Linked DNA regions of Daphnia pulex. The protein of the gene in region 1 purifies or fractionates together with the protein of each later gene. This does not show direct contact. Links are inferred from orthologs where the notes say so. Each region holds a gene or a part of one and is shown on either strand. Other genes may lie near its edges.

What was found.
Region 2: the proteins of general transcription and DNA repair factor IIH helicase subunit XPD-like (region 1) and cytosolic iron-sulfur assembly component 2B-like purify together in Homo sapiens (affinity purification with western blotting; 3 studies listed by BioGRID and IntAct, with this or other methods). This does not show direct contact. The link is inferred for Daphnia pulex from reciprocal best matches to the Homo sapiens genes ERCC2 and CIAO2B.

The regions. Positions count from the first base shown.
Region 1 is NC_060017.1:8,164,268-8,168,298, reverse strand, and holds the start of general transcription and DNA repair factor IIH helicase subunit XPD-like, read right to left. Parts: upstream 2,801-4,031; 5' UTR 2,705-2,800; coding exon 2,700-2,704; intron 2,641-2,699; coding exon 2,541-2,640; intron 2,470-2,540; coding exon 2,215-2,469; intron 2,149-2,214; coding exon 1,915-2,148; intron 1,854-1,914; coding exon 1,730-1,853; intron 1,668-1,729; coding exon 1,571-1,667; intron 1,511-1,570; coding exon 1,377-1,510; intron 1,319-1,376; coding exon 1,150-1,318; intron 1,083-1,149; coding exon 963-1,082; intron 898-962; coding exon 829-897; intron 771-828; coding exon 599-770; intron 536-598; coding exon 257-535; intron 173-256; coding exon 84-172; intron 16-83; coding exon 1-15. Other genes in the region: cyclin-dependent kinase 20-like, read left to right, coding at 2,892-3,210, 3,282-3,512, 3,571-3,641, 3,709-3,748, 3,816-4,006. UniProt on the Homo sapiens protein: ATP-dependent 5'-3' DNA helicase. Component of the general transcription and DNA repair factor IIH (TFIIH) core complex, not absolutely essential for minimal transcription in vitro.
Region 2 is NC_060019.1:10,900,080-10,903,044, reverse strand, and holds cytosolic iron-sulfur assembly component 2B-like, read right to left. Parts: upstream 1,471-2,965; 5' UTR 1,349-1,470; coding exon 1,225-1,348; intron 1,160-1,224; coding exon 1,080-1,159; intron 1,016-1,079; coding exon 743-1,015; 3' UTR 707-742; downstream 1-706. Other genes in the region: microsomal triglyceride transfer protein large subunit-like, read left to right, coding at 1-53, 115-282, 342-513; sterol regulatory element-binding protein cleavage-activating protein-like, read left to right, coding at 1,955-2,965.

The DNA.
Region 1 (4,031 bases):
AACATTAACACGGCGCTACATGAATCGGTAAAAGAAATGGTCAATATAGTCAGAATCTTTTGTTTTCCTATTATTTTTCATACCGTCCAAGATGGTGGTCAAAATCAATTCCTTCAGAGACTTTACCCCGTGCGACTGAAAGTAGTACAGCTCCTCGTCCATTATCACAAGCCTTCACTCGATTAAACAGATCGATTCAGATTAAACGAAAATCTTTAGACTAGAGGAATTAATTACTTTTAGAAACGAAACGTACTTTGATGTAGTTAATCAGCGCCAAACTCGTTTCTGCTGCGTCTTGGGTTTCGATAAAGAGGAGCTTGTGTCTTTGCAATTGATCGATAATGCCCTGATCGTACCAAGACGACACAATTGTTTCCAGGTATAGGTAGCTGGTGAAGAAGCAAACAATCCCATCGGGTACAGCGGCCGCTACTTCAACCAACAAATTTCCGTAGTTGCGAATAACGGCGGTGTCCTCACGAGTTTCGTATCGCGATGACATGGCGACCTGGTCGTTACCTTTCGATACGATCTATACTTAAAATAAGAATTTTAGTGTTACGTTAACATTTATGAAAAATGAGGCATCTACTACCATTGGCAGAATACAGGGTCTCGCCAAAGTCATAGTAAATGAGGTCATTATGACTGGATGGAAGTCGAGGATTTTCGGATACATATCAAGCGGTGAAAGGGTTCCTGAGGTGATGACGACAGTTTGGAAACGATTGAAAACTGGTTTGATGGCAATAGATGAATCTAAACAGCTGTAAAATGTACTAGCATTAATCACTGTTGGTCTTTGCGTGTTCTATATTCACATACCTGAAATATAAAATTGGGTTGGAAACTGTAGGTGCCCGATCTTCAAACGGTTCAATGATGATGGTGAATCTAAAATAGTAAATTACTTTTAGATATTTTTTCACCATTTTATCACTGTAAATAAAGATATTAACCCTTTAGTATATGTCGAGACCAATGTAGCAAAGTGAGAAACGGTTACAAGAGGTGAGAAATCCGTCAGGTCGGATATTTCAAGAGTGCGAATGAGTGAAGATAAACGCTCTGCGGTGAATCTGGAAAGTTTATCAACAAAATAGGTAAAATAATAATTTGTGCGTGTGAAACTGTATTTTTATATACCTTAGAGGTTTCCTATCGATACACACTTTAATGTGAATATCTCTCAAGAAACCGGCGGGACTCTCTTGAACGACGTGCTGGACGCGGAGTCGAGTTTTGATGTACTCTACTACTCGCTTCAAAAAGGCCACGAAGTGCTCAGCAGTACGGATCGTTCCAGGGACGGCCTCTATAAATGAAAGAAATGTTAAAATGGCCCGAACGGATACTTGTGAATAAATACAGACCTTCTAAAATTTCAGAAGGTAAAACCGGGTTAACTAAAGCCATGTCAGTTTCTCTCGCTATGTTAGCATCTCGCAATCCTTCAACTAGCCTTTGGTATTCCTTCTCCAACCTTCTGTTGTCATTTTCTTTCATGCTAAAGAGTTAAAAAAGTTAACAACTCTGAAATTAATCATGCACATCCAGTTGTGATTACTTTGAAATGGTGGTTTCCAGAATTTGAATGCTATTGGAGCATTTATCCAGCAGACGTTTCGTTATCTTGACGCTCATCGAATCTATACAGACATTATCTAGAAAAACCAATATTTAATTAGTAGGGCAATTTTAAGAGGTTACGTTTCAGTAAAATTACCAATATTGTGGGCTTCATCAAAGACAACGACGCTAGTTTTTGAAATTTCCTTGGAAACGACTTCTGCAATCTTGGGATCAAGTAAGTAATGATAGCTGTACACCACAATGTTGGCGTGAGTTATCTATAATTTAAATTTGGTATTAATTTGGTTGTACAATATTTTATAAATGTCATGATCTAACGGTGTATCGGGCAAGAAAATAAGGACACCATCCTTTGGCCTGTCCATATTCCTTTAAATCGTCCAGGTTGTACACCCCAGGAGGCAGCGGAAATTCTTTTCCATGAGCATCGAATCCTTCATAAAAGTTGCATACTGGCACAGCGTCATCACCTGCATGACGAGCTCTTACAAACGATGCCGTGAGACCGTAACAGCGCCCGTCGACTACTTTTCCTTCTCTCTCCTTACTGACCTGTTATGTAATTGTGTTGTTGATTAACCATACTTTTAAATCTTTTTACTATTTAATTCATATTACTGAGGGGTGAATGCAGAGATTCTTTCTGGAGCTAAGTGCCAAGCCAAGAATGTTTTGTTCCATGCCCATCTCTTTTTCGTAGTAATTCATTAATTTTCGCAATTCTTCCATAACCTTTTCAATTTCAGGAACAGTTCTTGAACAGTAGACTAGTTTGGTTAAATCAAGGGGGTGAGCCTTCATGTAGGCCACAATTAATGATAGCAATGTTGTTGTCTTCCCCGTTCCAGAAGGCATTTCCAATAAACAGTGACCCTGAATTGATCCAACATCAACAGATATTTATGTAATTTCAAGTTATACTAGTATTGGACGATACAACATACTTTTGCATCGAGAGCATGTTTCAGTTCGAGCATGTATGAAAACTGCTCCGGGTATATGTAATCGTAAGGGAAGTAGACGAGGAGTCCATCAACATTTAATCTATGAACATGTAAATAAATTAAATGTGGTCTCTGAATTGACAAAAGTGCGGGATTTACTTCATTTTTGTACGAGAAAGTTTACAACAACATGCACATAAAGTTGCTTGCCACTTGTTCTTCTTCAAATTTCTAGCAGACTAATTTTCCTTTTCACGTGTCGATAATGGTTACCAATAGATGGCGCGTAGTCAAGGCAACCAATTTGTTGTTTAAAAATATTTGTTGCGATTAGTTTTTTTAAACGATCTCATGGAAAGATATATTGTGAACGGCAGGATTGGGGAAGGGGCACACGGGATCGTTCTTAAAGGTATTGACAAGTCCACAATGAAACTGGTCGCCATGAAACGGATAGCGTTGAAGAACATTAACGAGCAGGGATTGCCGAACTCGGCTGTTCGTGAATTGCTGGCTCTTCGCCTGATCCGCCATGAATATGTAGTGAACCTAGTGGACTATTTCCCACAAGGATATTCGCTTGTGTTGGTCTTTGAATATTTACCAATAGATCTCTACGAATTTTTGCGCTCCAACTCCAAACCTTTGCCGACGAGTCACGTGAAAAGCTGTACCATATTTACATCTCTACAATCAGATTTTAGGCATTCAAATAACCAATATGCAATCCTTTCCATTTAGACATGTGGATGCTAGCCAGCGCTGTGGAATATATTCATAGTTTGGGTATTATGCATCGGGATTTGAAGCCGGCCAATTTGCTGATTGGTTCCCGAGGCGAACTGAAAGTGACCGATTTCGGATTGTGTCGTACGTTCAATCATTCCGAAAAGGCTCAAAGATTATTCACACATCAGGTGGCTTCGCGGTGGTACAGAGCACCGGAACTGCTCTATGGTTCTCGCAACTATGGCAAGTTTCATTTTAATTTAAAAATGCCATGTTAATTCTAACACCTTTTTCACAACAGGACCGGAAGTCGACCTATGGGCTATGGGCTGTATCTTTGGTGAAATGTTGAAGAATTCTCCCCTTTTTCCGGTAAATAATGGCCAATGTTGTCAATATAATATGTTGTAACAGTATCCGGATTTCCATCAAACCCTAGGGAGAAAATGACATTGGCCAACTGTGCACAGTCATTCAAGGTCATTAACAATACGGTAATCATAATCAAGGTGAATGGCATTAACTCTTTTGTGGGTAATTACATAGTACTAGGCACTCCAGACGAAGAAAATTGGCCAGGTGTATCAGCATTGCCAGATTTCCACAAAATTTCATTTACCAAAACTCGGAAACAAATCTCCTTTAAGAAAATCCTGATTGATGTAGACGAATCATCACGAACGATGCTGGAACAATTTCTTCGCTATTGCCCCCAATCACGAATAACAGCTAAACAGGTCATTTCTAATCTTCTATCTTTTA
Region 2 (2,965 bases), on another chromosome or scaffold:
GAAATCCAAATCAGTATTTGGAACAGAAATTCTCATTCAGTTGTCGAAGATATGTAAGTCAATTTACAGACTGGATTTCTGATCATAATGATAAAACTCATATTTTCATTTCAGCGCTGCATGGGAGCTAGAGGGGTCATTAAATTTAAACACGCCGTTTGTTAAATCATCTGTTGATTTCACTGTGGGTGCTGAATCTCGGGTCGATTTCGTCAATGATGTTAGCTTTGCTAACGGAATTCTTTTATGCTTGCGTATGGGCCAAGCTGAATTCAACATAGAGTGAGTGTCACAATTATTTTTTCAGCGTCGAACTAACTTAACATCCCTGTGTTGTTTAGTTACACTGTGCAGAAGCGCGAAAGCATTCCGGGAACTAAGCACTGGATTCACAAAAAGAAGAAACGCCAAGATTTCGTCCCAGGTCGCACGTTCAAACTGAATGACCAGAATTCTGGCTTCTGCAATGAAATGTTCCCTGCAGTTGAGAGTACTGGATCATCTTATTTTTAAAAGCAATGTGTTTTTCTTTTTGTTTTTAGGTAAATATTTTAAATGACATAATTGGGGTCCAAAGATGCTCAAATGAAGCAAAGTGGTTTAAAGTAGTTTACAACTTTCATGGTTCTAATTGAATGTAAATGAACAGGGACAATGTAAAGTAATTGTCACTGAATAGATTTGAATGTGTTCCATCAAAATAAACTGCATTTTCATCCATAATGTATTGATCAAATGGTTATTATTCCAAACTTTTTACTAAGCATTGATTAACAACTTCAAGTAGATTGCTGTTTTCCAAAGCGGCTGAGACTCTTTCTTTGTCAGCTAGCTGTTTATTAACAGCTTCCTCTGAAGCATGTGAACCTGGGGAAATGTTTACTTCAACTTTGAACCTAGGTGGTAGAGACCTGAGAAGACACACTTTGATGGACAGTCCTATTAAAGTTGCCATGCTGCAATGAGGGATTGTTGGAGTGTAAAAGACTTTAACACTGCTTTTTTTGTCATCAACCTGTACATACATAAAGGAAATAGAGGTAATGATTTTGTGTGAAATCAGACATTTCATATTTTACTTCTATATTCGTGATTTGTACAACATTCAGTTCTTCAAGTGACATAGGATGCTCAGGATCATTGATATCCCTTAGCAAATCTATAATTATGGAGAGATAAGCGAATTTGTTTAATGATGTATTACGCAAGTGCGAAAGTCTTTACCGAATATTTCCCTCTCATCTATGGGATCCTCTACTGATTCATCTTCTTCTTCACTTGTTATTTCTCTTTTTGTCTTCTTCGTAAATAACTGTGGATTCACATTTTCGATCCCTTTGGAAGTCATTCTTACAATTCAACACTTTGACAAGTTTATCCGACTAATAACGAACGCAATCGCGAAACGAATAACATGCGAATAACTACAAGTAAACAGAACTAGTAACGGCATCTAGCGATACCGATAAATGTTTAGTTGTGTGCGCGGCGGCGGCTGAGTGAACTATTGCGGAATCGGCAATATTTAAAACTAAATAACTTAATAACCATAAAACATATTGGCAAACGAATTTTACTAATTTAACTATTTTTGTAAACAAATTTTAGGACAACTCTGGTAGGTACTGTATTATTTCTTTTCTTGTTTAATTCCACCACCACGTTACAATTTTCTGCACTAGACGCTCCAGTTGTGTCAAGGCATTGATCTTTAGTTGACATGTTTTTCTTTTTTGGGCATTTTCGACAGGTAAATAGAGATTAAAATTGAATCTGCAGCCGGTTTTAAATTAAAAAATCTCTTATTATATTGATTTTCTTGTTTAGGAGAAACGTTTGCTCTCGGAGGTCATTCCCAATATTGCCAATACTGGAAAGTGTGGCGAAATGTCGTGAAATTTATTCACTATTCGTCGTCTACAGTTTGTTTTAATATTTTTGGACTTACTCAAACATGCCTTTTGTTGAGCCACAAATTGGTCATCATCCCGCCGTCAAAGATGTTGATTCGGCTGGACTTGCTAATGGAAGTGGACTGAATTCAAGCACCAAAGGCCTGAGTATACCCGACAGGGTAGCACTCCTCTACTACAAACATGGCCTTCTGTGTTCTAGCTACCCCTGGTGCACAATCATAGTGGCAATTATTATTGTTCTCACTTCGTGTCATCCTTTATTGTCCTTGCCTTTTCCAGGCAATGAACCAGAGGAGATATCTTTCCCGCTTCCAGAGAAAAGAATCTCTTCTGATCTTGAATTTGGAAAAAGCTTTCAGTATCCAACCAGATGGGGAACTCAGCAACCATCTTTTTTCATACAACAAATAGTTGTACGGTCCTCTGTCAATCCATGGACGTCTGATTTGGGCATGATGGATGCTTTTCGAGGCCCATTGAGTGAAGTCTTCAAGCTGCATTCTGATGTAGTGGGTTTCCATTCACCTAGGAGTAACCTGACTCTTAGAGATGTTTGCCTTTACGTGGAGAGTGTGGCCCCTAGAGCTCGTTCGTTTCAACATCTTCTACCCGAATTCAGCTGCATCATTTTGTCGCCGGCCAATTTGTGGAAGCTGGACGAAAATACCTTCCGCAACGACGCTCAGTTCTTAGACACCATATTTTCTTTCAAGAACCCAGTGGTAGAAGTGCGATCAAGTATGGCCGACATACTTTACGGCGTCCCGCTCAAAAATAGTGGATTGAAAAAATTCCCAGTCAAGACTCGTTCTCGCGTCCTTACGTACGCTATCACAATCTTACTTAAAACTCATTCTGAACCGTTTCTTTATGACTTGCGGTTAAAGCTCCGCAATCAATTTCCTCTCCACTCCACCACTCAAGAATCCACATCATCTCGACGCACCATCGTTCACATTTACTATCCCGAACGTTTCAATTATTTGGAGCTCATCCCGCTGACTTTTGTCTACTTAATCCTGTTCCTGTACATTTACTTCTCTGTTCGC